Linked DNA regions of Lonchura striata. The protein of the gene in region 1 purifies or fractionates together with the protein of each later gene. This does not show direct contact. Links are inferred from orthologs where the notes say so. Each region holds a gene or a part of one and is shown in the gene's direction. Other genes may lie near its edges.

Evidence for each region.
Region 2: the proteins of UTRN (region 1) and DTNB purify together in Homo sapiens (affinity purification with mass spectrometry; 3 studies listed by BioGRID and IntAct, with this or other methods). This does not show direct contact. The link is inferred for Lonchura striata from reciprocal best matches to the Homo sapiens genes UTRN and DTNB.
Region 3: the proteins of UTRN (region 1) and MARK2 purify together in Homo sapiens (affinity purification with mass spectrometry; 4 studies listed by BioGRID and IntAct, with this or other methods). This does not show direct contact. The link is inferred for Lonchura striata from reciprocal best matches to the Homo sapiens genes UTRN and MARK2.
Region 4: the proteins of UTRN (region 1) and SNTB1 purify together in Homo sapiens (affinity purification with mass spectrometry; 3 studies listed by BioGRID and IntAct, with this or other methods). This does not show direct contact. The link is inferred for Lonchura striata from reciprocal best matches to the Homo sapiens genes UTRN and SNTB1.

The regions. Positions count from the first base shown.
Region 1 is NC_134605.1:49,976,077-49,983,913, reverse strand, and holds the start of UTRN (utrophin), read left to right. Parts: upstream 1-4,792; 5' UTR 4,793-4,793; coding exon 4,794-4,887; intron 4,888-7,837.
Region 2 is NC_134605.1:113,405,569-113,413,450, forward strand, and holds the start of DTNB (dystrobrevin beta), read left to right. Parts: upstream 1-4,796; 5' UTR 4,797-4,944; coding exon 4,945-5,036; intron 5,037-7,882.
Region 3 is NC_134638.1:332,599-339,659, forward strand, and holds the start of MARK2 (serine/threonine-protein kinase MARK2), read left to right. Parts: upstream 1-3,973; 5' UTR 3,974-4,060; coding exon 4,061-4,117; intron 4,118-7,061. Other genes in the region: ZFTA (zinc finger translocation-associated protein), read right to left, coding at 254-348, 698-901, 1,618-2,122. UniProt on the Homo sapiens protein: Serine/threonine-protein kinase. Involved in cell polarity and microtubule dynamics regulation. Phosphorylates CRTC2/TORC2, DCX, HDAC7, KIF13B, MAP2, MAP4 and RAB11FIP2. Phosphorylates the microtubule-associated protein MAPT/TAU.
Region 4 is NC_134603.1:13,522,162-13,529,594, forward strand, and holds the start of SNTB1 (beta-1-syntrophin), read left to right. Parts: upstream 1-4,397; 5' UTR 4,398-4,479; coding exon 4,480-5,002; intron 5,003-7,433. UniProt on the Homo sapiens protein: Adapter protein that binds to and probably organizes the subcellular localization of a variety of membrane proteins. May link various receptors to the actin cytoskeleton and the dystrophin glycoprotein complex.

The DNA.
Region 1 (7,837 bases):
GCTTATCAGCAGCTCTTTCAGACTCTTGGCCACTGGCTTGAAGCTAGTCTGTTCCACTGCAGCAGGACAAGTGGTTTTGAAAACTCTGAACCACCAGGATTGCTTGTTGGTGGAGCTGGGGCAGATCAGGTGATGGCTCCTCTCCTGTGCTTGGACTTGCATGCTGTTACTCAAGGCTCAGTGCCTGGGCTTCAGCTGAAATGCACGTTACATCCCAGCATATGAGCACACAAATGTTGAACAGTGCATCTGTCATAGATTCATTAGGATTTGGTTTATAAAGGTACCTGTGAATGGGCAGGAACCTTGCTTTGGAAGATGTGCTCAGCATTTTAAATGACAAGCAAACTGCAGAAGGCTCCTACTTTTCCTGTGGACCTCCTATGAGTCACTCCTATGAGTTGCTGTAAACAGGTGGCCTGGGATGATTTGCAAAAAGCAAGTACTGTTTGGATGTGGCTGGATTTTACAGGTGTGATCATAATGTAAGCAACACTTTCCAAAGATTAATGTCCTCCATAGATTTCCCTAGTATTTACATTCAAAATATTCCCTTTTACAAAAGGAAAAGGGAAACTGTAAGAAGAACATCAAAAAATACCAAAATTATGGTGATTCTTGAAAGGCATTACAATTTATGTACAGTTGCTACTATTATTTCTTTTGCAGGATGAGTCAGTTATTTGTGGCAGCCAAAGACATGCAGTTTTATGAGACCCATGTGTCAAGTGCCTGAAGCGCTGTGTGCTGGAAAGGTTTGTGTTGGAGCTGCCTGTGAGAGCACTGAGAGAATATCTCTCTGTTATCTGTACTGCAGTGCTCCACTAGCCACCACACACGCTGTTCCTCTTCCACAGTAATGAGGGCATCTACTGTATTGATAATGTTCTTTTCAGTAGAAAGCTTTATGCTGACATGAACCTGGCTGTGTGAAACAAGGTTTCAATAGAAATGCTAAAAACTCATTGTTCTCATTTTGAATTTGCTGGTGTTGTGGGTTTCCTGGAAGTAAGGGATAAGCTAATAACTAGTTTCCATCAAAATGCAACAAGCATTTGAATCATTACTTTCTGTTTTAAGTTTCTGTTGCCCCTCCACCATCCTTCTTAGCATCTCCTTTGAAGCTCTTGTTTGCTTGCTGAAACAAGTATTGTGTGGCCTGCTAATTCAAATTGTGCGGCAGGCCAGCTAAAAAAGTTGTCAGGTTGTTGTGGTGAAATAAAACATCCTGAACAAAATTATGGGGTGGTAATCCCAGAGCATGAGAAGCTCTTAACCAGATGCTCATTATAGCAGTATTTTAAAGGGTAGAACTAGCCAGGTAACACAGGAACCTTGAGAAAGGCTGAGCTTCCCCTCTAGGAAAACGCTTGGCTCTCACCTTGGAGAAGGAAGGTGAAGGAGGAGCTCTGTACCTCCTTGTTCTGCTCCCATAAGAAGTCCCTTAGATTTGTTTTTTCCTCTGCCAAGAACCCAAGCCTTTCTCTATAGACTAGTTTGGAAAAGTGGAAGTTCAGAGCAGGGCTACTCAAGGCCTACTTGGAACACAGCTGGAAGGAGACAGGCTGTGAAAAAGAAGCCATTTTCCTCTTCTTAGAGTCAAGGCATTCAAAGCTCTTGGAAGGCTCCCAGAAGGCAAAGAAGAAATGGAAACCAATTTCATTATAGATTGTCTTACATACAGGGGAGTTTTAGAATTAAAGGATGTTGCCCTCTGGTCCCATTGTTGTTTGCCTCTGTGACCTTTAATTTTACTCTGAACCCTGTGCTGACTGTGTATATGCTGGGGCTGTGATAGAAAAGTGAACTTAAGTATTTATGAGCTCACTTTTAAATGAATGAATACAGTTATCTGAGTTTTTTCCCTTTTCCCCCCAACTCTAGGTGGTTTTTTGCTTTTCCATTCCCTGCTCTGTGAACTAAGATATAGTTAAGTCGTGCTTCACAGATAAAGTATGGAATTTAGACCTACTCTTCAACAAGGGCTGAATTGTCATCTGAGTTCCAGTCCTTCTGTAAACTATTACAGCAAGCTTGTCATGTGTTGAGTGTAGCATTGTTCTTTATGCTTTGTAATATATGGGCAAATATAAAAAGACGTGATTTCTAATTATTAGGCTTCTAGTTAGGCTTCCCTCTACTTCTGTCTTCCCACAGTAGTTTCAGCTGGTCTTTTCTATCATACATGATAAGAAGCCTAGGCAACCAGCCAGCTGCTCTGGAACTATAATAGGGCCAGTGGCATGTACAAAATTTGATTACTGCTGTCAACACCAGAGAGAATAGAAGAGAGCACGTACTCCAGTCAGAGAGCTACTAAATAAATGTTGAATTCAGTAGTAGTAGAAATAAGACCATCTTCCTCGTAATGAATGAAGTAGTTTATGGGTAGAGAGTATACTATTGAGCTCTGGAGTTAGGTTAAAATATTTTTTAAAAAGTCTTCCTTTGCAGCCTTCAAAGATTACTTTGACCAGAAATTTCTATTTCCCTTCTGTTTATCTGCTCTTGCAGCTAATGTATGGATTTCACACCCAATACTGCAGATATTCATAGAGACCATGGTTTCACTTTTAAAATTTAGCTTAAAAATATTCCTGCCATCCTAAAGGTAACTTATTTGCACATGGGTTCAGATATGAAACTATTTCATGCTAGTAATTCTATTTCTGTTTAGGCAAGAGATGTTTGTTTTTTTTAATTTAAACATAGTGTAACAACCCCCCACCTCCCCCTCCCCCCACCTTAAGTTAATAAATATTCTCAGTGTATATTCTTGTTGAAATGTTGGATTTTTGAGGTAAAACCTGCTGTTAGATAAAAGTGTTTTCTCTGATGTTCATGGCGCAGCTGCTGGTGGCAGGCAGAGCTTGAGGGCTGAGCTTCTCTGGAAGCTCTGGCGCATGAATGATTTACTCAGCTTTGCTAATACCTTCACATTGAATGCAGTTCAAGGGGTCGGTGGAATCAGAGTGGTGTTTCTCTAACTGCTCTCACTGACTGCAATCACTTCCTCCTTTGAGAATTGGTAAACCCAGAAATGTTGTCACAGACTAGCTGACTCGTGAAACTTGTGCTTATTCTTCAGTCTTGCCAAGTGTGGGTGGGCCTTGGAGCAGCAGGGACTAAGGTGAGGTAAGGTATTGGATATACAGGCGAGCATTCTTAGGGGATTCAGACCACTCTCATCTCAAAACTTGAAAAAAGGAGCATGTGGTGCTGTTGGTAAGACTTCTGGCATATGTGCAGGTCTGTGTGCTAATTCTCATCGTTTCCTTGGTGGAGATGGTCGCATCTTTGTTTTATGCTTGGGAAGTGCTTGGTGCACAGTAAGGTTTGTATTTGTATTTACAAAATACATACTTGTTTGTTTCTAAAATAGAAATTCTAACTTTAAAACTTTTATTGCCTTTCCACTTTGGTCTTGTTAGCATGGTTCACAGAAATGTTTGGCTACAAATGTCTGATTTAGCCCCCTGAATGTATGGTTGTCTTTATTCATGGAAACAAAACTCCTTTTGTGTGAGGCCTTTCAGCCTTCAACTTTGAGGAATTCTTGAATTCGGGGAAAAAACATCCAACCCACAAATTTAAGTAAGACCAACTTCTGGCCCACAAAAATTTAAAGAAAGATCTAATCTTGATTTCTTCCTCCTTCCCTTCTCTGAATAGTGTCTGGGGTGTAATACTGTCCTGACTGGATATCAATGAAGAGAGGAGAGCTGTATCAAGAACATTTGTCTTATAGCATGATACAATGAGACAGGCAGACAAATCAAACAGCCTCTATCTTTCTGGTTTTGAAACCAATTCTATGGTTTAGAACTCTTTTCTCTGGTTATAGTGCCTGTACTTGCGTGTTCTAGCTAATCTCTTCTTGCATTACTTTGTTGTGACTTTTGGAATTCTGTACAGTTCAGAATCCAAAAGTGTGGGATATGGAGTGTCTTGCATAACTACAGCATTTGGATTCTTCTTAATTTGGTTATAGAGATGGCAACAGGCTTTGGAAGACAGAGGGATTCAATTTGCTTTTTGTACTGGTGGTAAGCAAAATTTAAAGACCCACTTGAAAATAACTCAGATCTTATCATAGCCCTGCATTACCAACTTTTTGCTTTACTGTTCCTTGCTCTGTCTTGTTTGGAATTACTGCACAGTGGAGAGGGCATGCCTAATCAGAGTTTGTAATTTTCTACTTGTACAACTTCCTTTATGTGCTATAATCTTATGTTTAAATTTTCTTGTGCTTTTTTGAAAGGCCATTTAAAGATGTGGATGCTTACTTTGAAGAGTTGTTCTGGTTTTATGTTCTGTTGAATGTGTGAAAAAAGTGTTATAATGATACTGCAAACTTTTTACAGAATGAATGCTAAAAGTATTTAGGATATTTAAAATGAGTATGGTGCTTGACCAGAGTTTGATTTGAACAGAAAAGGAAAGTTACCATCAGCTTTCCTATTTTCAGTTTGTAGAATTTAACTTGCCTGTTCTCTGAAAGCTGGTGTCATCCTATTTTCATAAGGAGTAGCAAAGCAGCATATTTATCTGATTTTAAAGAGAAAAGAAATCTCAAGTAGCTGGACGCCTGTGACTTGCTAACGTGCAGCCTTTTTAAAGGTTTATTTCCTGACTGGTTTTGTCAGTCACTGTGTGGCTGAATGTGTCAAACCCTCAGAGGAAAACCAGTGCTTCCCTCCCCCTAGAATCCCAGCATGCAGTTCTTGCGTGGGTACTAGCGTGTACTTCCTCTGCATCTTCACTTTCCTGTTATTCAAAAACTGAGCTTGATCATGAGCGTTCAAACAGCCAAAAAAGTTGTATGGAAAAAGTACAAGGTTGCTGCACCTCGGCATACTGACCAGCAGACCTGTTATGCTCCGCTGGGTGAGTGCTTCCCTGTGTTCTGAAGGCTGTGGTAGATGAAAAGATCCAGGCATGTGGGTCTGCTTTTATCATCTACATTTGATGAGAGCTGCTTTTTTTAAATTTGCAAAAGTTTATTTACTCTAACAGAGCAGGTCGTGGAGGGCATGGCAGGAAACAGAGTGGGGAAAGGCTGTTTTCTGTGGTGCTGCTCCATTGAAAGCGTTGTGTGAGCTCTGGCTGCGTCACACCTACAGACACAAGATCCTCTTGGTAATTAATGCTTGTGTTGTGGGCTTCCCTTTCACCTACAACAGTGACTTGTTCATGGCAGAAATTTTAGCATCATTCTGTCTGCTTGAAAGTCTTAATGTCCCTAATTTTCTTAAACTATGCATTAAATTCTGGTGACTTCAGCATTTACTTGTTTTGAGTCTTTAAAGTTCTGCCTAGTGTGCCTTCTGGTACTTCTGAATGTAAACTTAGAGCAGGTCCTTGGCACCTCACAAGTTTTTCTTCTCATTTTAGTAGTATCTCAAAAGAGCCATATTTCCTGTAATTTGGAAAGAATGTTTTGTGGAGGGATGCTTTGAAAAAGAATAAACTTGGGATATTACTCTTTTGTCCTCGTTTTGGCATCTTTCATACCTATTCTGATTGAAATTTCATGGGTTGTCTCATCTGTTTTTTGACTGGGCCAAATAACACAGATTGGCAAGGAAATGACAATTTGATTATTCGTAGTACCTGTGAATATGCTATGTAGGTACAGTAATTGACAGATGAGAACTGTTAATTTTGTGAATTGGTGTCAGAACTTTGAGAAAGCAGAACCTGTTGATCAATAAAGAATTTGGTCCACTTGACTTTTAATGTGGGTTTTTTTACAAAGCTGGAATCTGAAGATAGGTTTTTAGAAAGAGAAACTACAATCCTCTGAAGTTGTATCAATGTAATGACTAAATTTAGAATAAAATGATGGGCTGGGACTCTGATTTCACATATGTTTGCTTCTAGAACAATGAGGTAGATTTGGATATATGCCAGTTTAGCTGAGAGCAGAAAGTTTTCCTTTGTAGCTCAGTCCAAACTTCCTTAAGAAACTGACAAAAATGTTAAGAAAACTCAGTAATGTGAGTGGAGTTTCTTTTGACTGACTCTGGAGAGCTGAGTAAATTATAGGTTAGAGAGATGTAGTGTTCTTCAAAATCTGCACGTATTCAGCCCTCAAATGTGAGACATCTGCAGTTGATCACTCTTGGAAGGTTAGCAGTAGGAGAAAATCAATCTGCTTCGTTTTTAACCTCAGCTGCTGTTCATGGAAGTTGTTTGTTCTGGCTTTGCGTGTACTGGTGTAGGTTTTTTTGGACTATTTCTTGGGGTTTTTTTCTTTCTTCTTTTTTTGTTGTATTTTTAGAAGAGCGTAAACTTGGACAGGAGTTATAACCAGCCATATAGTTAACTGATGAGCACTGCAGTTGTGAAACCTCTGAAATGTTCATCTGTGGGATAATAGGAAGGTCAATCTCTCTGCGGTTTTATATCTCAATCCTTCACATCTTTCTAACATGTAAGTGCACACACTTAATATTTGGTAATGTCTGTGTGTCTATGGATGATTTCTCTGGCACTTGCTCCAGGTGGCTAGGCTAAGGTGTGAACCTCCCAGGTGATAGCAGCTACATGCTTGCTCAGGTGCTTTATATGATTGAGCACAATGTTTACTGATTGTTTCTTAAAGCCTGTTTAAATCTGAGCTAAGCTCTCACTTCTTTTAAAATAACATAGATCATGGCCGGTAAATTGCAGTTATAGTTTTTCTTAATCAAGCAGCAAGATTTTTTTCAGGAAATTTATTCAATTATAATCTTTGTAACTGTTCATAAAGTGTAGCACTGTAGATTTGCTTTCCAAGAGAGTCATAGTCCCACATTTATTGTCATCTCACTTTTTTAAAAACTCTATATTTGGAGTCTGTGAGAGGTGTGGCTTTGGACACTTCTTAGTGTGTTGGAAATGCACACAGGAGGGAAAAACTCTGAAAAAAGCTAGAAGGTAAGAGGTGTGGAAAGGAAAATGAGGAAAAAACCTGAAGGTAAAATAAGTCGTGGGGGTGTGTGTGTGCACTATGATGGAGAGGCCATTTCTGAGAGGACAGGATTTTTAATGATGCAGTACTGGAAATACTCAGGGAAAAAAGGGGTGGAGAAGTTGGAAGGGGTGTGTATGTAATTGTTTCTTCATGTCCTTTGCTTTTCACAGAAATCTAGAATACAAAAAAAAGGGACACTTTTCAGTCAGCAGAGGTGTGGCTTTGGCTTTTTTGGTTGTGTGCTTGCTGTGGGAATTGGCAGGGACTGGAGGAAAGGAGGTTGAAGCTCATACCTGATAAAGTATCTGATAGTAAATGAATTAGTTTGGGTGAAACCAAAGTGGATAAGACTAACTTCTGTTCTCTGAAGCCTGGAGAGCACACTAAGTTTTGTCAAAGATTGATTTATGGCCTAAAACATACTAAATAACTTAGCTCATCTGGTGCCCATCTTTATAACAGTCTATTCTCTCTTAATAACCTCTTAAACTCTCTAGCTTGTGACAGGCACTGGGAGTGTGGTAGCATTGGTAGGCTACTGGAACCAAAGCTTACTCTTTATATAAGAGGAGAAAAAAGAAGGGATCTTGTACTTTCTTTTGTCTGTTCAAACAAAAAGGCTTTCTTCATTGCTGTTCTATACTAAGGGAGATAATGTGTGTTCTTCTAGTAAAATTTCTGAAACTATTGCAGGAAAATGATTGGGCTATTTTGTGTTGACATATACACACTTTACTGTTGTGGCACTATTTGATGTGATTATTTAATAAAATGGGGCTTTTTTTTTTGCCTCAATTGCCTAATTACCCAGATGGAAATCACACTGTCATTGCAGGGAAGGCTACTTAACCAATGTTACAGAGGCAGAAAAAGATGCTG
Region 2 (7,882 bases), about 63 Mb from region 1:
ATGTTCTCAGTTCTGTTCTGAGTTAGGAACTCTTTAAACCAGGGTGGATGTTCTCAGTTCTGTTCTCACTTAGGAACTCTTTAAACCAGGGTGGATATTCTCAGCTGGACAGCTCTTTAAACCAAGGTGGGTGTTCTGACTTAGGAACCCTTTAAAGCAGGGTGGGTGTGTTCAGCTGTGTGTTGTGGGAGCTGTGGCAGTTTCTGAGGAGGGAAGGAACCACATCTGGAAGATTAAAGCCAGGCCTTGGGCCTGGCTTGGTGCCTGAGCCACCCTGAGCTCCACACTCAGCCTGCCTGCATGGGCTGCTCTGGGGCAGCTTTAGAGAGCCTAAAGAGGGACTCAGATACAGTGATTCAGGTGATAAGATTGGAATTCATAATATTTTTATTAGGTTAATTGTTTTCCCCTTGGTTCCAGGTAGAAGGAACCATGAATTTGTCATCTCTGGTTTAGTGTTTAAACAGATTTCTATTGTTAAACTGTACCTAAATTTAAATAGTTTTATGGGCCTTTCCCAGTCCTGTGGGCTGTAAGGACTGAACTATTTTAATTTCTCACCTGTGCTTAAATAATACAGATTTATTTAAAAAAAACTTATGTAATGAAGAGTTTTAGGCAGCCCAGATCTGGAAGAAGCAGTAGGAGACCTCAACATTCCACAGCAGGTAGTACATTATATTTGGCCAGGTGGAAACAAATAGAATTATGACAGCAGGTGCCAACTCATCGCTAAATTTTAAGAGTTACATGTCTAAAGGATGTGCTGTGGTTAGCACTTAAAGTAACTTAAGTAGCTGCTGACTGACTGCAAGGTGAGGTATTTTTCAGACTTTGTCAGTGCAACTTTTAACTTTATTTAGGTCAAAGGTTGGACTCAGTGGTCTTGGGTGAACGAGAGCCTCAGTGATTCTGTGATTTAAGAGGTGGGGGGCAAAGGGGTGTCCTGGCATAAAGCAAGCAGGGAGGGAGCTGATGCCCTAACTTAAATTTTTATTTATTTATTAAAACAGAAAGCGACAAAACTAAGGGATAAAGCCCCTTAGTTTTACAGAAGGCAATGGCAAATGTCATCAGCTGGACTTTTACTTCAGGCTTATGTTCTTGTGGAAGGAAGCCCCTTTGTGAGCACAGCTGGAGCAGTTTGGGTGCAGCCAGGCTCTTGAAGCAGGTGTTGTGTGTCTGGCAGCTCAGACAAAGTTAAAGTTATCAGCCCTGTGTAGGTGTTCAGTTCCCATTGCCTGGGGCAGTGGCAGAGAGACTTTTAAATGCAGATTAATGGTTCTGTACTCCTGTACCCTTTCGGTAATATCTAACACTTCACAAACCTAGAATTATTTTAGTTCAGACCTGTGAAGGTGGTGAGGAAGATTTCACACCCTAAGTTAATGTAGGAGGTGAAATTAATGAATTAAAACTGAGCAAGCTGTTTTATCCTGAAGTCAGTTGTGCTGGGGGAAAGCAGTTGCTGTTTCCAGGTGTTCCTCACTGGAATTTCCCTCCTCCCCAGGTGTGCCAGGGAGCTCTGGGAGAGCCCTGAGCTGCCAGCTGTGTGGGACCTGCTCCTGCTGCATCTCCAGTCTGGGGTGATGGGAAAAGGGCAGGAATGCAGCTCAGAGCCCTTCCCAGCAATGCAGACTGCATTCAGAGGCAGCTGCAGAGTTCTCTCCTGTGCTCTGCAAGCAGTGCTGGGGCCTGTGGGCTGGGATGGAGAGGGGAGGCTTCGCCAGCTTCTCTTAGAAGCACGGAGTGCTCAGAAATCCCCTCCACAAAAAGTCTTCCCTTCCTGAGAGGGAGGGGTAAGCTCTTAATTAGTCTGTGTCCAACTTCTTACTGCTCAAAAATCCTCCTGCAGTATTTCCTTTCTCTTACCCGACAGGAGCACTGCTGTATTTCAAGGAAACAATTTCAGCTGCAGGATTTGCTCTTGTTTGCTCCTGGTAAATCCCATAGCAGACATTAATTTCAACAGGCAGGTTGTAAAAAGCCGTTTCTACTCCTGAGGCTGTGGGACAGTGAAGGAAGATGAGGGTTTGGTTCTGGTTTGGGTGTTGTGGCACTGAGTGTGCTGCCAGCTCTGCGCCCTGGCTGTGTGAGCTGGAGAACAGAGCTGCCTGTGCCAAATCTGTGCTGAGACACTCCGTGCTGGCCTGCAGGGCTCCTGGGGCCAGGCTGAGTGCTTCCCTGGGGAGTGAAAATGGATCCAGAGGGCAGTGAGCTTCAAACAGCACCTTGGCAGCGGGGCTGGCACCTCAGTGCCACTGCCACCTCCCCGTTCTTAGCCTGACCTGCAAGTTCCTCAGGGATCCTCTCTCTGCTCTGGGCGCTCAGCTGACACTGGAACTCAGTGCTGGAGCACTTACTGACACTCAGCTGGGACTTTGGGAGTTCCAAACCACCTGAGTTTCTGTGACTTGATGTGAAGTCACAGAAACTCGGGTGCTTTGGAACTCTCCTGGATTTGAGTTTGTTCTGTTTTGTCTGGAGGGAACCTGTGTTAAAAGTTTTGGAAGGCTTTCAAAGAAACCTCTGATTAAATATTGTGACTTATGCCATCTTTGTTGAACTTGAATCCAGTACAACCTTTATCAGTTTCTGACCAGGTGAGGTTGTTGGGCTTGCCCTGGGGCTTAGAGCAGGGGATTTTTTCTGGAATCACAGAATGATTTCAGTTGTGAGTCCAGCCTGTGAGTGATCCCCACCTTGTCCCCAGCCCTGAGCTCTGAGTGCCACATCCAGGAATTCCCTGGATACCTCCAGGGATGAGACTTCACCACCTCCCTGGGCAGTGCCAAGGCCTGAGCTCCCTTTCCAGGCAGAAATTCCTGCTGCTGCCCACCCTGAGCCTGCCCTGGCCCAGCCTGAGCCCATTTCCCCTTGTCCTGTCCCTGTTCCCTGGGAACAGATCCCAAATCCCCCCCTGGCTGTCCCCTCCTGGCAGGAGCTGTGAGAGCCACAAGGTCCCCCTGAGCCTCCTTTGCTCCAGGCTGAGCCCCTTCCCAGCTCCCTCAGGAACTCTCCAGCCCCTTCCCAGCTCCTCAGGAACTCTCCATTCCCTTCCCAGCTCCCTCAGGAACTCTCCAGCCCCTTCCCAGCTCCTCAGGAACTCTCCATTCCCTTCCCAGCTCCCTCAGGAACTCTCCAGCCCCTTCCCAGCTCCCCCAGGAACTCTCCATTCCCTTCCCAGCTCCCTCAGGAACTCTCCAGCCCCTTCCCAGCTCCTCAGGAACTCTCCAGCCCCTTCCCAGCTCCTCAGGAACTCTCCAGCCCCTTCCCAGCTCCTCAGGAACTCTCCAGCCCCTTCCCAGCTCCTCAGGAACTCTCCATTCCCTTCCCAGCTCCTCAGGAACTCTCCATTCCCTTCCCAGCTCCTCAGGAACTCTCCATTCCCTTCCCAGCTCCCTCAGGAACTCTCCAGCCCATTCCCAGCTCCTCAGGAACTCTCCATTCCCTTCCCAGCTCCCTCAGGAACTCTCCAGCCCCTTCCCAGCTCCCTCAGGAATTCTGCAGCCCCTTCCCAGCTCCCTCAGGAATTCTGCAGCCCCTTCCCAGCTCCCCAGCCCCTCCTGGGGCTCCGTTCCCTTCCCATCCTGGGGTGTTCCATGGGCTTGCTGTGACCCCAGTGCAGGACCCAGCTCTTGGCCTGGCTGTCCCTCAGCCTGGCACCCAGCCCATGGCTCCAGGCTGTCCTGGTCCCTCTGCAGAGCTCCCTGCCCCCAGCCCATCCACATCCCACCCCCCTGGGGCTGTCCCTGGGCTGAGCCAGGCTGGTGCCCTCCGTTCCCGTGCCCAGGATGTGCCTCCATGCCCAGGTTTTTCCAGCCAGGATGTCCCTGTCCATCAGTGATTTTCCACCCCAGTAACTGGAGGCACTGAGGGCTCAGTGGGTTGTGCTGCCACCAGCTTTGTCCTGCCTGAACAAACCCGATGGCTTCTTGTGCCTTGGAAAAACCTCTCAGTCCCAGCAGGAATGGCAAGGCACGCAGGAGGGCAGGCTTTAGGATTCAGCACTGTCTTTTTTCCTGAGCTACTGAGTTGCCTGTTCATTTTTAATGAAGCTTCCTGCATTTTTTTGGGCAGGTTTTTGCAGAATCTTCCAGAGCAGCTTTGGATCCACTGGATTTATGGATAAAAAAAGGAGCCATTGACTTGTTTAGAATTTCACTGCAGAGCTGTAATCACTGGGAAGTTACAGTCCCTTTCCTGGCTCCTGGCCATGTGGGTTTTTCCTTACACCCTCTGAGGCCGGAGTCAGTTTGGGTTTGCAGAGATCTTGCACAATCATCTGAGTCCAGCACATGTGAAAACATCAGTGAGAAATCCAAACTTTTGGCTTTTGGGGCAGCTGCTGCTGGAAGGTGCACGGTGGCTCCCAGAGATGCTCCTGTACTTGCTGGAGATGCAGAAATAACATTTTAGGGTACTTTTCATACTTTTGTGCACAGCTGCTTTTGCTTCAGTTACTTATGCTACAATTGGTGTCTAAAATGTTAAAGGTAAATGAGAAGAACTGTCAGAAGTGGTTAAAATGTGCTTTAAAAGATGTTGTAGTCTACTTGAATGGAAGGTTTGTCTTTTCCAGGGGTCAGATGTGGTCCCCTGAAATCACTTTGAGGTCACTCCTCTTCCTGGGAAAAGGCACAGGGGAACAAACAAAGAGTATTTCAGATTTATTATGTTTGACTGCTGAGGAAAGGGATTGGGAATATGAACCAGGAGAACAAAGAAATGAGTAAGAGCATCAGATATTTTGCATAGACAGAGGGAGAGGAGGGGATTAAATCAGTAATTGTGGGGTCCTTTTTTAAATTAGGAAAGAAAAGGAAAAATACTTCATGTTTTTATTGAAATCTGAGATGAACAAATATAAGCACCTTTATATCATAAGTAAATTTAATTTTATACTTTAACAAAACATTTATGACAGTTCAGAAATTATTTTAGATGGGTTCAATGAAATGTCAGACGAGCTCAGAAGCCCAAAGCAAGGAAGTGCCAAAGCAGATGGACACCAGTAACTTTTTCTGCCAGCACAGGTGTGCCCTCCCTTTTTATTCAATATCTTCATCCCAGCTGTGTTATTTATTAAAGTTACATTTTTAAGAGTGAATGCACTGGCAAGGGAGGAAAGCTTTTCCTTGAAACAGCAGGAATAGTTGTTCCTTCTGATCAGGAAAACAGCAGAAAGTCACTGAACCTCCTTCCCTGTGTCAAGCTCAGATCAGCCCATGCCCCAGACTGGCTTTTGGATTTATTTTAATTACAACTTATTTCTGACCATAAATAGCTATGGGCACAATTTTATCTTCATGCAGCAACTGCAATTTAATCAGTGACATCAAATATTATTTCTGCTAATGACATGCAACGCCAAGAATGTGAACCAAGTCAGATTTAATAATTGGTAAATGAACTTTTCTTTCTGTGTTCCTGCTTTGGCCAATGAGGCTGTGGCTCAGCACGAAGCAATGTTTGGAAGTGGTTCTCAAACCCTAAAGGTCAGAATCTCCTTTGGAGTGTTCCTTAAAGGTGGAAGTACAGAATGAAACAAAATGAACTTGGAACAAAACAACTGCAAAGCCAAACTACAGCTCCTGAAAGTGGCTGTGCTCAGCTGGGGTTGGGCTCCTTCTCCAGGAACTGACAGAGCCAGAGGTCACAGCCTCAAGCTGTGGAATTCCAAGGGGAATTCAGGCTGGATATTAGGGAAAAGTTCTTCCCAGGAAGGTGATAAAGTTCTGGGATGGCAGCCCGGGGAGGTGGGGGAGTCCCCGTCCCTGGGTGTGTTTAACAAAGCCTGGATGTGGCACTGGGTGCCAGGGATGGGTTGAGGTGCTGGGGCCGGGTTGGACTCGATGGTCTTGGAGGTCTCTTTTAACTTGGTAATTCTGTGAATTCTGGGAATTTTGGGAATTCCCAGGGACTGGGGAGGTGGTGGAGTCCCCATCCCTGGGTGTGTTTAACAAAGCCTGGATGTGGCACTGTGTGCCAGGGTTCAGTTGAGGTGTTGGGGCTGGGTTGGACTCGATGGTCGTGGAGGTCTCTTCCAGCCTGGTGACTGTGTGTGTGATTGTGTGTGACTGTGTGTGGGACTGTGACTGTGTGTGACTCTGTGATTTTGTGTGATTCAATGGTTTTGATTGTATGATTTTGAGTGACTCTGGTTCTGTGATTGGTGTCACTGTGCGTGATCCTGATTGTGTGGTTGTGTGTGATTCAGTGATCCTGATTGTGTGTGACTGTGAGTCTGATTGTGTGTGACAGATTCTGATTGTGTGATTGTTTGTATTTCTGTGATTGTGATTCTGACGGTGTGACTCTGATTCTGACGGTGTGACTCCGATCCTGTGTGTGATCCAGTGATTCTGTGTGATTGTGATCCTGTGTGTGACTCAGTGATTCTGTGATTGTGATCCTGTGTGTGACTCAGTGATTCTGACTGTGACAGTGATTCTGTGTGATTGTGATCCTGTGTGTGACTCAGTGATTCTGACTGTGACAGTGATTCTGTGTGATTGTGATCCTATGTGTGACTGTGATTCTGATGGTGTGACTGTGTGTGATACAGTGATCCCGCGCATGACTGTGTGATCCCGTGTGTGACTGAGTGATCCTCTGTGTGTGACAGTGATCCTCTGTGTGTGACTGTAATCCTGTGTGACTGAGTGATCCTCTGTGTGTGACTCTGTGATCCCGTGTGATTGGGATCCCGTGTGTGACTGATCCTGTGTGACTCTGTGATCCTGTGTGACTCTGTGATCCTGTGTGACTCTGTGATCCCGTGTGTGACTGTGTGATCCTGTGTGTGACTGTGTGATCCCGTGTATGATTCTGATCCCGTGTGATTGGGATCCTGTGTGTGACTGATCCTGTGTGACTGTGTGATCCCGTGTGTGACTGTGTGATCCTGTGTGACTGAGTCATCCCGTGTGTGACTCTGTGATCCCTTGTGTGACTGATCCTGTGTGACTCTGTGATCCTGTGTGACTCTGTGATCCCGTGTGTGACTGTGTGATCCCGTGTGTGACTCTGGGATCCCGTGTGTGACTGATCCTGTGTGACTCTGTGATCCTGTGTGACTGTGTGATCCCGTGTGTGACTGTGTGATCCCGTGTGTGACTGTGTGATCCCGTGTGTGACTCTGGGATCCCGTGTGTGACTCTGGGATCCCATGTCTGATTCTGATCCCGTGTGATTGGGATCCCGTGTGTGACTGATCCTGTGTGACTGTGCTCCCCGGTGTGAGAACAAGCCCGTCCGCAGCTCGGGGGTGATTGCCTGAGCACAGGGCTGTCCTTGGGCTGTCCTTGGGCTGTCCTTGGAGCTGTCCTTGGAGCTGTCCTTGGGCTGTACCTACAGCTGATGAGCTCCAAGAAGAGCGGAACCTGCTAAGCAAGGTCCTGTAGTATTGGCCTGAACCCGGGAGCGCCTGCAGGGAGCCAGGGGGCACAGCCGGGGTACAGCCAGGGTACAGCCAGGGTACAGCCGGGGCACAGCCAGGGCACAGCCGGGGTACAGCCAGGGTACAGCCGGGGCACAGCCAGGGCACAGCCGGGGTACAGCCAGGGTACAGCCAGGGCACAGCCGGGGTACAGCCAGGGTACAGCCAGGGTACAGCCAGGGTACAGCCAGGGTACAGCCGGGGCACAGCCAGGGTACAGCCGGGGCACAGCCAGGGTACAGCTGGGGCACAGCCAGGACACAGCCAGGGCACTGCCGGGACACAGCCGCGGCACAACCAGGGTACAGCTGGGGCACAGCCGGGGCACAGCCGGGACACAGCCGGGGCACAGCCGAGGGGCACAGCCGGGGCACAGCCGGGGCACAGCCGGGGCACACCCTGGGCACACCCTGGGCACAGCCAGGGCTCCCAGGAGCTCCC
Region 3 (7,061 bases), on another chromosome or scaffold:
GGTCGTGTACAAGGTGGGAGGGGTGTAAGAAAACGGGGTGGGGGGACACGCAGACATAAATAAGGGGACACCGGGGGGTGGGGGTGACACCGGGGGGTGACACCGGGGGGTGACACCGGGGGGTACAGGAGTGGCTGTGTTGTGGTGGGGGGGAACTGGGGACACTGATGGGGGGGGTCTGGTGTCCCCGCTGCCCCCCTGGGGTGTCCCCTGTTGTCCCCACCCCCTCCCAGTGTCCCCATCCCGGGGGGGCTCAGGCGGGGGGGGCTCCTGTGGCCCCCTCCCCCCCTGCGGCCTCTTCCTCCTCCTCCTCCTCCTCCTCCTCGGCAGGACCGGGGGCTGGCAGGGCTGGTGGGGACAGCGCTGTCACCTCCTGTCACCTCCCTGTCCCCCACAGTGTCCCCTGCGTCTGTCCCCACCCGCTCCCAGTGTCCCCAAAGCTTCCAGCACCCCCCCGGTGTCCCCAGTGTCCCCAGTGCCACCCACCCCAGTGTCCCCGGTGTCCCCAGTGTCCCCGGCTCCCCCCCACAGCCACCACTGTCCCCATATCCCAAACCCTCCTTGATCCCGCTCACTGGGGTTTTCCCTGGGGGTGGCACTTTGTCCCCAGTGTCCCCCTGTCCCCTCTCACCGGGGCTGTCCCCACCATGTCCCCGCTCACCAGGGCTGTCCCTGTCCCCCCCGTGTCCCCTCTCACCGTCCCCGTCCCCGCCGTGTCCCCGGTGTCCCCGCAGGCTGCCGGGGTGCGCGGCCAGCGCGTGCCGCCGGATGTCCCCGAGGTGCAGCGAGGGCAGGGCGCGGGCGCACAGGAGGCAGCGCAGCCGCAGCCCCCCGGCCTCCAGGTCCAGGCGCAGCTCGGCCCGCAGCCAGCGCCGCAGCGGGGACAGCGGGGGACGGGGCCCTGCGGCGGGGACGGGCTGTCACCCAGGGGAGACAGAGGGGACGGGGCCCTGCGGTGGGGACGGGCTGTCACCCAGGGGAGACAGAGGGGGACGGGGTCCTGCGGTGGGGACGGGCTGGGGGGATGCACTGGGGACCCTGGGGACAGGTCCAGGGCCAGTGGGGACACTTTGAGGACCTTGGGGACCACTCGGGGACAGGCCCAGGGCCATTGGTGACACCTTGGGGACACTTTGGGGACCCGGGGCTGGCACTGCGGTCATGGGAGGAGCCCCAGAGAGGGGCGGGGCTGAGGGATTGGGCGTGGTCGGGCGGGGCCTGTCTTAAAGGGACAGTGTCCCTTTAAAGGGCGTGGTTTAGCAAAGGGTGTGGTCAGATCATGGGCGTGGTGTGTAGAGGGCGGGGCTTTAACGAAAAGGGGCGTGGCTACGGTAAAAGTGGGTGTGGTCAGTGTGGATGAGGGCGTGGCCTGAAATTAAATGGGGCGTGTCCATATTTAAAGGGACAGAGCTGCTAAAGGGGCGTGGCCACATTTAAAGGGACAGAGCTGCTAAAGGGGCGTGGCCACATTTAAAGGGACAGCGCAGCTCCTAAAGGGGCGTGGCCACATTTAAAGGGACAGAGCTGCTCCTAAAGGGGCGTGGCCGCATTTAAAGCGACCCCACTCCTCTTAAAGGTGCCGCGCCCCACCTTCCCCACCCCCAGCCCGGCCCGTACCTGTCCCGTGGGCGCCGCCGGGGGGTCCCTCGGGCCGGGGGGTCCGTCCCGGGTGGGCGTCCCAGGAGCGCAGCACCAGCTGCTTCTCGCGGGGCCCCCAGGCTCCGGAGTAGGGGTGCTTCTGGCGGATGTGGCGCTTGATGGTGCTGAGCTTGAGCGTGGCCAGGGCGCTGCCGCACACCAGGCAGCGCATGCCGCGCCGCGCCGCGTTGAACTCCATCAGGTACTCGGCGCGCCAGCGCTCGTGGTAGTACCGGCGGTGGTCCCGGCCCGGCACCCGGCTCCGGCCCGGCCGTGACGCCCGCCGCTCCCGGGGCTGCTCCCGGGGCTGCTCCCGGGGCTGCTCCCAGAGCTTGTCCTGGGGTTTCTCCTGGGGCTTCTCCTGGGATTTCTCCTGGAGCTTCTGGGGCTGCTTCTGGAGTTTCTCCTGGGGTTTCTCCCGGGGTTTCTGGGGCTGCTTCTGGAGTTTCTCCTGGGGTTTCTCCCGGGATTTCTGCGGCTCCATGGTCCGGTGCAGCCCCCGCGGGGAAGGGGCTGCAGGGAAAGCCGGGGAGGGAGGTCCAGGAATCGGGGGAGGTTCAGGGGGAATTTCAGGGGGGATTTGAGGGGTCCAAGGGATGGAGGGGACACCGAGGATTAGGGGTGAGATGTGGGGCAAGGCCGGGGGGTTTTAAAGGGACAGAGCAGCAAAAAGGAGATCTTAAAAGGGGCAGGGGGTTCTTAAAGGGGCAGCGCGCTTCAAGGGGCAGGGTCCGTAAATGAGGAGGGGGCGGGGAAGGGAGGGGCGCATCCTCCAGGGACAGGGACATCCGAAATTCCTGTGGGCATCTGAAAGGGACGGGGATCCTTTAAGGGGACAGGGACACCTTAAAGGCTCAGGGACATCCCGAATTGGATGGGCACATCCTGAAGTCCTGCGGACCTTTTAAAGGGACCGGGCTAATTTAGAGGGATGGAGGCATCTTCACGGGACACCCTAAATTGAATCGGGTCATCTTAAAGGGCCAGGAACCCGTTAAAGAATCCGGGGCCTCCCAGCCCATGACAGGGAACGGCAAAGGGCTGGGGGGGGGGGTCGGGGGGCTTCTTAAAGCGCCAGCGCCGCTCCCATTGTGCGCCCCCCGCTCCCCCGCCGCCCTCTCGGTGCTCACCTGGGCCGGCCGGGGCCGGGAGCGGGCCGGGGGCGGGGTGGGGGCCCGGGGGCTCCACGGCGGGGCCCGGGGCGGCGGCGGCGGCGGGCGGGGGCCGACCGGGCTGGGGACGCCGCCGTGGGGCCCCTGGGGCTCCTTTAAGGGCTCCTGGGTAAATTTAAAGGGGCCGCACGCCTTTCCCATCCCCCCCCCCCGCCCCTCCCCGCTACGGGGGGCTACGGGGAGGGGGCGATGAGTTGCCGGCAGGTCGCAGCCCACCCCCCGCTCCAGAGGAGCCACAGCGGTGATTTTAAGGGGGGTCCCCCTGGATGCTCCCCCGCCCCCACCCCGCAGCAGCGCCCTGGGGTGCCCCGAGCGATGGGGCACCCATGGACCCCCCCACCCATCCCTGCCCCGCCCCTTTGGTCCAAAGGGGGCGTGGCGGGGTGAGGACACGCCCCCTCCCCGTGCTCCCAGTGCAGACAAGGCGCGCCTTGCCCCAAAATCTGGGCGCGTCCAGGTGTCCGGGAGAACCCCCAAAAATCGGGGAGGGTCCTGCGGTCCGGGAGAGTCCCCCAAATTCGGGGACGGTCCTGCGGCCATGAGAAGCCCCCAATTTCGGGGGGCCTCCTGCGGTCCATGAAAGTCTCCCAAACTCGGGGAGGGTCCTGCGGTCCGAGCCGCCCCCCGCCCCATCCTTGGGTCCCCATCGGGGCTGGGGAGGGGCATTCGGCTCCGCTCGGGTGTTTCCGGCACGGGCGGAAGCGCCCGAAGGCTGCCAAGAGGTGTTCGGGCATTTCCGCATCCACTCGGGAGTTTCGGTTCCACTCGGGTATTTCCGGCTCCGCTCGGAGCCGCGGCGGCGCGGGCGGCGCTCGGCCGCTCCCGCTGCGCTCGGCGGAAAGAGCCGAAGGACGCTTCGTGTAGCTCCGCGGCGGAGGCGGAAACACTCGAAGTCCGTGAGGGCCGCGCCCCGAAGCGCTCCGGGAAGAGCCGAAGCGGCGCGGGGAGGCGTGTCGGCTGTTTCCGGCGCGGCGGCGGAAATGGCCGAGGGCCGGCGGCGGCCGCCATGTTGGGAGCCGCGGGGCGCTGAGGCGGCGGCGGCGTGAGGCGGCGGCGGCGGCGGCCGGGCCGGGCCGGGCGGACCCCGCCCGCTCCCCCTGCTCCTCTGCCGGCCCCCCCAATGCCGCTGGCCTGGCCCCCCCCCGCCCCCTGAGCTCCGCCGCCTCCCCTTCCCCCTCCCCGCACGCCTCCTGCCTGCCGCGGCTTCCCCCTATCGCGATAGTCGCCGGCGGCGCGGGGGGGGGGCCGCCATGTCGAGCAGCGCTCGCAGCCCTTTGCCGACCGTCAACGAGAGGGACGCGGAGCAGGTGAGGGAGGGACGGCGGGGGTGGGGTGCGGATGGGGGGAGAGGGGCGGCCGGGGGGAAAAGGGCGTTTTGTGAGGGGAAAAGGGAGCCTGGGGGGTTTTTGTGAGGGGAAAAGGGAGACTGAGGGATTTCTGTGAGGGGAAAAGGGAGACTGAGGGATTTCTGTGAGGGGAAAAGGGAGCCTGGGGGGGGTTTGTGAGGGGAAAAGGGAGACTGAGGGATTTCTGTGAGGGGAAAAGGGAGCCGGGGGGGATTTGTGAGGGGAAAAGGGGGATCCGAGGGAGCCTGGGGGTTTTATGTGAAGGGAAAAGGAGACTGAGGGAGCCTGGGGGGTTTTTGTGAGGGGAAAACGGGGATCTGAGGAAAGAAAAAAGGGGCTTGAGGGGATGGCGAGATGGTTTGTGAGGGGAAATGGGGAGTTTAGGGTCGGTTTGTGAGGGGGAAAAGGGGATCTGAGGGGGCAAAAAGAAGAATTTGGGGGGTTCTGGTCCCGTCCGTGTGGAAAAAAAGGGGGACTGAGTGGGTCTGAGGCGTTTGTGTCCGGGAAAAGGGTCCTGGAGGGGCCTGAGTAATTCTGTGAGGTAAAAAGGTGTTTTGAGGGGGATCTGGGCTGGGTTTTGAGGGGGATCCGAGGGGAAAAGGGGGCTGAGGGTCTGGGGCTGTTTGTGAGGGAAAAGGGGGGCAGAAAGGGTCTGGGGGCTCTTTGTGAGGGGCAAGGGAGGCCTGGAAGGGGTGTGAGAAATCCTGTGGGGTAAAAAGAGCGTTTGATGGCAACCTGGGTCGGCTTTTGAGCGATAGAGAAAATAAAGAAGTCTGAGGGGGTCTGGGGGCATTTTTGGGAGTGAAAAGGGAGATCCTGGGGTATTTTATGTGGAGAAAGGAGAGGATCTGGGGGGATCTGATCTCTCTGTGAATGGAAAAGAGGGACTGAAGGGGTTTGGGATTGTTTTGTGAGGGAAGAGGGGGCTCTGAGGGGCTTCGGGCCCCTCTGTGAGGTGGAAAAGGGGGGTCTGGGTGTCCCCCAGTTCCTCTCTTGCGCCCTGTGAAGGAGCCTGGGGTCTCCCACAGCCCGGACCCTCCTGTGGGGTGGGGGGTCCTGAGCCATGTCCCCCTTCGGGCCTGGATTTGCTGTAGGGAGAGTGTTCTGGGATGAGCCCCTCCCCAGATTTTGGGGTCCCATTTCGGGGTTCCCTGCGGGGCAGCAGCGGGGGTTTGTGTGCATGACCCCCGGTTTTGGGTGAGGGGGTCACGCCTTGCACCCCAAAGGGAGAGGGGCAAGCAAAGGGGGGGTGCCAGACACCCCCACATTGACCCCCCAGGCTCTGGGATCCGCCGTGGGGGGCAAGTTTGGGGTGTCACCGTCCCCCCCCAGCCCGGTGGCTGTGCGCTCGGGGTGTGGGGGCGTCAGCCCACCCCCTCCCCACCCCCTTCCCTGCTGCAGCCCCCCGGCCGGGGGGGCTGTGGGGGCGGCGGCAGCGCTGCACGGGCTCGGCGCCCTCCCCCCGCTTTGGGGGGGCTCTGAGGGGCGAGCCCCCCCAAATCCCTCCCGTTCCGACCCCTGTGAGTGGGGACCAGCCCCCCACCCCGGGTGGGGAACGGGGGGCGCGCCCCCCTGTCTGTCTGAGGGGTGGGGAGGATTTCCTCCGGGGGCAGCTGGGACGGGGGTTCCCCGTTTTAGGGGGCGGATTTGGGGGGCTCTTGGGGTCCCTCTCTGCCCCCAGCTTTTCTGTGGCTGCTGGGAGACCCCGCTGTTGGCTCAGCCGTTTTGGGGAGCACCTGGGGGTCTCCTCAGCTCCCCCAGCTGGGTGACACCCCCGTTTTGGGCGGTGTTTTGGGGGGCTTCCCCCCTTCTGTGACCCCAAGTGCTGGGGGTGGCCCCAGCAGGGCGTGTGGGGGCACAGGTGGCCTCGTGTCGGTGTCCCCAAGCCCGAGGACAAGGCGATGCCACCTGTTCTGTGGCTGTGGCATCGGGCCCCCTCCTCGTTTTGGGTGGTTTTCCTCTTATTTATCCGCTGTTATGTAACGCCAGAGGAGAATTATTCCTGGTGGGGAAGATTTGGGGAGGGGGCGGCAGCGCCGTGTGGGGGGGGCTGTGCACCCTCCCCAGCCCCAGCAGCTGAATTTGGGGGGTCTTTCCCTGCCCCCCCAGCCCCCAATTCCTCCCTCACACAGAACCCGATCCGGTGGGGTCGGAGATAAAAAAAACCCATCAAAAATACCTAAATTTGGCTGACATTTGAGCGGCGCCGCACGAAGCAGCGCTGCCTCCCCGGCTGCCGCCGCCGCGCCGTGCCCGGGGGTCCCGGTCACACCGGGGACACCGGCACCGCTCCCGTTGCCACCGGTTTGGTGCCGCTGGCGTGGGCGGCTGCCGGCGGCATCGACGCCTCCCGGCACCGGGATCCTCACACCTGCCTGGTGACGTCACGGCGGGGCCGGTGATGTCATGGTGGGGCCGGTGACGTCACTGCGGGGCTGTGACGTCACTGCGGGGCCGGTGACGTCACTGCTGGGCTGTGACGTCACTGCGGGGCTGCTGATGTCACACCGTACCTGGTGACATCACACCGTACCCAGTGATGTCCCTGCAGCCTCAGCGCTGTCACTGCTGCCGCCATTCCGGTGCCATCCCGGTGCCTGTTCCAATGCCCATTCCAATGCCAATTCCGGTGCCATTCCCATTCCAATGGCAATTCCGGTGCCCATTCCAATGCCCATTCTGGTGCCCATTCTGGTGTCCACTCTAATGCCCATTCCAATGTCAATTCCGGTGCCATTCCCATTCCCGTGCCCATTCCGGTGCCCGTTCCACTTCCCATTCTGGTGCCCACTCCAGTGACTTTCCGGTGCCCATTCTGGCGCCCATTCTGGTGCCCATTCCAATGGCCATTCCGGTGCCCACTCTAATGCCCATTTCAATGCCAATTCCAGTGCCATTCCCATTC
Region 4 (7,433 bases), on another chromosome or scaffold:
TGTGATGTCCCCCCACGGGGCAACAGGGACATCTGCATCAGCACTGGAGCTTGCCCTGCTGCATCCCATCAGGCATAGACATAGGAGGGGCTGCCATGGGGGAACGAGTAGTTCAGGCATGTTCCTCAGAAAGGAACTTAAACTTGGCTGCTACAGTGTTTGGGATCACTGAAGGAGCTGAACTCCCTTCCAGCTTTCTCATTATTTGCCATGTTTCCAGCACTGGCCTTCCAACACTGGACTTCCTTCCTATCCAGATCTGTCTGCTGAGCTGGTCGGTGTCAGGGTAACAAGATGGGAATGTCATTATCCAGACCTGATTTTGTCCAACCTCCGTCAGCTGAAGCATGTTCAAGGATCACAACCCAGTTTTTTCCAATTTAAAGCAGCTTTGGCTGAGCTGGCTTTAAGCTGTTGTAACACTGATAATGCAAAAAGGAAGAAAAATAAGATACAAGAAGGGTTTAAGCATGTCCCAGAAGTCCTTAAAAAATTACACCTCTGCTATAGAACAGCACAGACAGTCATAAAGAAGCCACAGCTATAGAAAGGCTCTCTTGTGTCCTTACCTTCTCTGCCTGTGAGGGAAATGGGAACTATGTTCCCTGTAGTGCTGAGTGGTGAGCTTGCATATGTGGCCTTGCAATGATTTTGCTATTAGGACGACAGTTTATGTACACAAGATATGAACACTGGCCTCTGCCTGAAAAAAGGGAAAAGCCCCCATTAACAGGCAGTGTCCTCATTGTCTCCAGTAGCCTCTACAGAAAGTTGAGCACCATACCCACAACCCTTTCTGCACAGTTTTTCTTGTACTTTTGTTCTTGCACATACAGACCCCAAATCCCTTGATCTTGCTTGGACACCTGGGCAGTTCCTCAGACATCACTTCTGCACTTTATGACCTGGACATGCTTTGGTGCTCCTTGTCCTGGGAAGCAGCTTCTGTGTTTTTCAATGCCCTGACTTCTTCCAGTTCACTGAACTGCTTCTTCCATTTAGGCCCTTGACTTCAGCTGAGCCCATGGGCCCCTGCAGGTCAACAGCAGCTATTAGCATTATTTTGCCTAACAATTTGTTTATATAGCAGGAATGAAAGGGACACTAATCTAGTTCAAGCATCTAAGCACTGCTAAAATACAAAAATCAAAAAATTATTATTTGGCTTGTTTGAAAGATTCCATTCTTCACATCAAACCCTTTCAGAAGGAAAACTGATGGAGAGAGAGTTTTGCTAAGCCTTGTCTGTGCTGAACGGCTTTCTAGTGATTAGAGATGGAAGTTTGGAAGTATTGAGTGCTTTGCCCATCCCACCACACATCTCAGCTTCTTTACAGAGAGTCACTGAACACTGCAATTGCAGTGTGAGTAATTACAGATGCTGCCAGAAACAAAACTGTCAGGGAAAGTTTGTAGTTGAAATCAGGAATTTGCTTTCTGCTATGCCCTGGAAAACATTAGGGACCAGCAGCTGACTTTGGAATAACAATTTTCTGTGGCAAACCTGGGCATCCAATATCTGAACACCCAATTAAATGCCTGGTTTTATCTTCTGTTTCTGCTCCTGCTGCATAAACCTGAATTTCAGAAATCACAATGCAGGTGTGACTGGCAGACCTGAGGCAGGACTGAAGTCAGTAATGTTGGTAGGGGTACCAGCAGAGAAATCTCAAGACATCTTTTCTTTCTCACCTTCAGTTCAGCAGCCCAAAGTTGCTCTTGGGGTACACAAAGACTCAGGGTACACAAACAGAATTATGAGCCTGCACTCCCAGGACAGGGAACACACGCATCAGTATCAACTGCAGTGTCTTCAGGAGGAAAGACAATCTGTGGCACTGTTTGCCTCGAGCCTGTGCCTTAGCATCTCTTACACTACCTTTATTTTCAAGACTAAAACATCACCTCCATTTTCTTTACAGTCCCAAGGTGGGCAAAAAGGGGGAGGAAGAAGCAGGGAAGGCTGCTATGAAGTTTATTTTGTACCGGGGATCCATATCTCAGATGAAGGTCCTGGGAAACTTCATTATGTACCTCAGTTGGAATGAGAAAGCAAAATATCTGGAATAAGCACAACTCTCAGCTACATGCAGTGCAATTGTCTATACAAGTGAGTTCCATGGGAATCTACTGGAGCACCAGGAACAGTCAGCAAACATGGCCCAAACACACAGTGTGCCAAAGAAGGGTGAGGCATTAAACATTTACTTTCCTTTCTCTATTACCTTTGCACAACAGGACAGAAACCACCTAAATATCTCTTCATTATAAATTTTCTTGAACTACTTCAAAAATACACTTTTCCATTAGCAGCAGCACTCATCCTTTATTAATTACTAAAGAAGAAACATAAAAATAATTGGTAAGAGCTGATCACTTGGAAACAGATGTCTGATTTTATAACTTGACCTGGACATTTGTGCTTGAAGCTACACAGGAGTGTGAATGCTACAACAACAGGCACGGTAACACCTGATTTTGCAAACCTGTCTGTTCCCTCCCATCCTTATTTTACAAACCTAAAGCTGCTGGAACCAAAGGAGCACATTCATTAATTATGCTTTGCACCTGGGAATGGGATCTACAAAAACCCACCAACCCAAACATCCAGGGTATTGTACATGAGCTACTAAATGAGCAAGGGAGGAATCAGGTGGAGAAAAGGGTGTGTTGCAGCCTGCTCCTGCACAGGGATTAGGTACCTTGTTCAGGTTTAGCGGGACATGCTTCTTTTCACTCTGGATTCACAGCCCTGAAAACTTAATTATAGCTTTTCACCTTGCATTGATTAACATGAGAAATGAAGAGCCCTCTCTTCCGTCTGCTTTTTCTCCACCCACTCATTATCCTTGAATAACACATAATTTGGATTCTCACTCTCCATAGGTGCAGGGTTGCATTCCTACTGGGGAGGAGGGATCCATAACCTGGATGAGGCTGCAGATGAACTAAAGTAGAGGCCTCCTTTTGGAGGGAAGAAGCATGGTCTGAGAGACCCTACTAAACCAAGACAAACTCGTCTGAGGATGATCCCATATATAGGTCCCACCACAAAGTGAGGAGGTGAGTCCCAGGTTGGCCAGCCCACATTACCCTGGGGCACATGTGTGTACCTAGAAACAAATCCCCAGTGTCAGAAATGAATGGCATCACTTCAAAAAAGGGCAAGATGGAGCCCTTAGGAAGCCACATGACTCACATGGCTGAAATGATTGGGACTATCCAAAATTATTTGGACTATCCCAATATCCCCAACTTCTCTGGCTATCCCAGCCTCCACAAAGTGTTGTCTATACATACACCAGATGGTCCAGAAGCACTGGAGTTTTCATTCCAGCTTAGGAAGAAAGCAGAGCTGCTCTGCAAGGAGCAGAAACAAAGGCAGTCCTGGAGGTGCTTCCTGTCTGCAGCTGCTGTGGGGGAGCACCTCCAGGCCTGCTGAGGACATTTCTGAAAGGCAACCTGAAAGCATTGCTTTCTCTGATGCCTGAGCGGGAGCTTTAAGCCCCTTGTCAGGGGTCTATTGTTTCCTAGGAGGGCAGAGAGTATGGGAAAAATTGCAAAAAAAGACATGTAGCCCCACAAGTCTTTAACATTTGTAATCAAAGGGCATATAAACAATTACTAAATGTGCAAAAGTATCAGTCACAAACACTTAATACCTTCATCCTACAAAGCCGTGAAATAACTTGTATTCTACTTCCATACCGCTGAAATTTAAGTACTTGGGGCCACCCGTTAGTTTTAATTCACTTTATAGAAAAATCCTTGGGAATAAAACAGAACTGGGTTTTCCTTATCTCTTCCCTGCCCTTGGTTTCCTACAGCTCCCCGCTACACCCCACTGCAGACGGCAGCTGCGGGGCTGGCACTGCCGCTCCGGCGGGGCCCCGCAGCGCCAGACGCGGCCACAGCCCGGGCTCGGAGGGAGCCGGGGCTCCGCGCGGGGGTCCCACGCCGTGTCCCCGAGGGGTCCCATGCCGTGGGGCTCGGAGGGAGCCGGGGCTCCGCGTGGGGGTCCCACGCCGTGGGGCTCGGAGGGAGCCGGGGCTCCCCGCGGGGGTCCCACGCCGTGTCCCCGAGGGGTCCCATGCCGTGGGGCTCGGAGGGAGCCGGGGCTCCGCGTGGGGGTCCCACGCCGTGTCCCCGAAGGGTCCCACGCCGTGGGGCTCGGAGGGAGCCGGGGCTCCGCGTGGGGGTCCCACGCCGTGGGGCTCGGAGGGAGCCGGGGCTCCCCGCGGGGGTCCCACGCCGTGTCCCCGCGGCAGGGGCGGGACGCCCCGGTCCCACTCCGCCCGCGGGCGGTGCCGCCAGGTGCGCCCGCCCCGGCGCGGCCCCGGCGGGGCGGCCGCGGCTCCTGGCCCCACCCCGCCGCGCCGGGAGCTGCCGCCCCCCGGCTGAAGTCCGGAGCGGCCGCGCCGTGCCGAGCCGAGCCGCGCCGGGGGTGCCGTCACTCGGCGCTTCCAGCATGCTCCTAAGATGGCGGTAGCGGCGGCGGGCGGCGGCGGGGGCGGCCGGGCGCAGCGCAGCGGCTGGCTGGAAGTTTTGGTGCGGGAGCGCTGGCACAAAGTGCTGGCCAACTTGGGCGGCGAGGCGCTGGTGCTGAGCGGCGAGGAGCGCCCCGACGGCGCGGCGCACAACGGGCTGGGCGGCGATGGGACGGCGTGCCGCGGGGCCGAGGGCGGCGGGGGGCCGGCGGCGGCGCGCACCGCCTTCACCGACCCCCCCGAGCAGGTGCCCGAGGCCATCTCCAACAAGAAGCGGTGCGTGAAGGTGCTGAAGCAGGAGATGGGCGGACTGGGCATCAGCATCAAGGGGGGCAAGGAGAACAAGATGCCCATCCTCATCAGCAAGATCTTCAAGGGGCTGGCGGCCGACCAGACCCAGGCTCTCTACGTGGGCGATGCCATCCTGGCCGTGAACGGCACCGACCTGCGGGATGCCACTCACGACGAGGCGGTGCAGGCGCTCAAACGGGCCGGCAAGGAGGTGCTGCTGGAAGGTAGGGGAGCGGGGCGGTCCGGCCGTGCGCACCCGGGAGCGGGGGCCTGTGGGGCGGGGCGGCTCCGCTGCCCGAGAGGCGGCGGAGCCGAGCTGGGAGCGAGGGGATGACCCCGCGCATCTCCTGCTGCTCCTCCGAGCGTCTTTCAGCACGGAGAGTTCACGCCCTGTACGCGCTGGGACCCTCGACGGCGTGTGTCATGGACACAGCCCCTCGGCAAGGGACGAGCGGGATGCCGGGGAGCCGGGCTTGAACTTTCCGCTCTCGTATCCGCCGGTGCAGTCCCCACAGCCTCGTCCGTGCGCGGTCGGTGGAGGCTCCGCAGCCCCGTCTGGTCGCGGCGATGCACCCAATACACTCAATATCTGCTCCTGGGCTGAGGCTCCCGGTAGGAGCCTGACCGAGCCTCCTGCAGGGTGAGGGATCCTCTGGATCTGCCGTCAGGACGCTTTCACATCTTTTCAGTACAAGAAAGGTGGGGAGAGTTGGGTACTTTGAGAGGAGAGGTTAAACAAGTAAAGGAACCCCTCCTTCCTCCCCTGGCATTAAGGGAATGACATGGGTGACTTTGCCCCAGTCATCTCGAAACGCCCGACACCACCCTCTCTCCAGTTCCTCCTTCCACCACGTACTCCCGAATAGGGATGTGGGGTGGGGGCAAAGCGGTTTAAATGAAGCTGAAGGTGCCTCACGGACTCACTAGCCATCCCACCCCTGCAAAGGAGCGCCCTTTCCTTTCTCAAGGGTGGCTGAAACAGTTTTGTAAAAAGTAGCCTTAGAAATTGACCTCAGAGAAAAGAGCAGACGCTGGTGTGCGTGGAGGGGACGTGGAGGGAGGGTGTCCCCCCAGAACGGGACGGATGTTGGGGGAGAGCGAGTAGAAAAGCACAGGCGGTTTCCCTCAGACTACGAGTCCATGAGGAGAGAGGCGTGCACAAACGTTTAATCCCCGTCTTTTCACAAGGGCTAATTTACTTGCTCCACCTGAGAGAATGAACAGCTTCAGAACTGCCCTTGGCGTGTGTATGATAAAGTGATTACATATTTGCCCACGAGTTCATTTAACCGGAGGTCAATGGCATTTGAGGCATGCTGCATCGCTGCCTTCCCCTGTGCCATCGCTTTCCTGCCGGCACTCCCACCTCGCTGTACCTGTAGCCCTTTCCGTACCGCGCATTTCTTTCTGTGTTTTTTTGGTGGTTATTTTGAGGAGCAAAAGGAGATGCTACCGCTGGCTGGGAGGTGCAGCTGAGGATCAGCCATGAGCAGCCAACTATGGCATAAATTTGCAGAAAAAGTTTGAAAGGGAGAGAAGGTGACAAATGTATTCCATAGTAGTGTGTGCTGAGAAACTCTTTTGTTGTCCCTATGACAGTGAAAACTGGAGGAGTTATGCTCCATGAGGATTTAAGAAGCTGAGGACAATTGTGTCTCCTCTCCCTCTGTGCCCTGCAATACCTGCAGGACCGAAGTGCATCTTGTCTTCCCTTGCTGCAGCTGAATTGATTACAGCTATACCTCTGAAGTATTAATATGAACTTCTCTGAAGTGGGGCTGTTGCATCTAAATTTTGTCACTGATTTGCTTGTGCAGTGTAAGGTCTTTCTGGGGTGCCGTCAGGTAGTGGCTGGGCTTTTGCTGTGACCTAATGAGTAATGTATATGATGCTTGCAAATCTCCCTGCCTCTGTGTGGTGAGCCTTAAAAAACCCTGTTTTCTTCCAGGCTAGGAGTGAAGATGAAGCCGTTTCAGTGGGGACTCTGAGCACCCTCCTTCACTCCTTTTGACATCACAGCTGTCTTGCATTTCTTTGCTCCGTGCTGAGGTGCCTCAGTAGTTGTTTCTGCAATTGAATTTGTAATTTGCAAAACGAGAATATATTTCAGTAGTGATCTGTATATAGAGGTAAAATATTCTGATGCTGCACTCCGTATTTTGTCCTGGCTTTCTCTTGCTATTTCAGCAGAGTAACCAAACCAAACGTTGGCTCCAGCATTGCCTGGGAGGGCTTCTCCCTTCAGTGGGGACCCACTCCACATGAATGGCGTGTGAAAACAGGCAGCTTAGAACAATTCTCTGTGATTTTATTGCCCACTTTGAAGCTCATTCTTCAGCAGCAGAGTCTAAAATGGTATGTTTATTACTAAAGGAAGGAAAATGCAGAAGTTCTTTTTACTCTTTAAAGTATGGAAGGGTAACACTTGATTTTCCTTTCCTTACAGACAATAGGATTTTGCCATTTCCTGACTTCTTAGAGAGTTATATATGGCAAAAAGCAGGCTGTGATGGGGCAGGGCAACACCCTTGTGCAGGTCCTCTCTAGACTCTATCCAATTCACAGAGCAAAGTCAGCATGTGTTTCCAGGGTCAAAATGTAAGATCTACATTTTGGGGAGATTCTGAGATTTGTTTGTGTCTTCCAGCCCAGGAA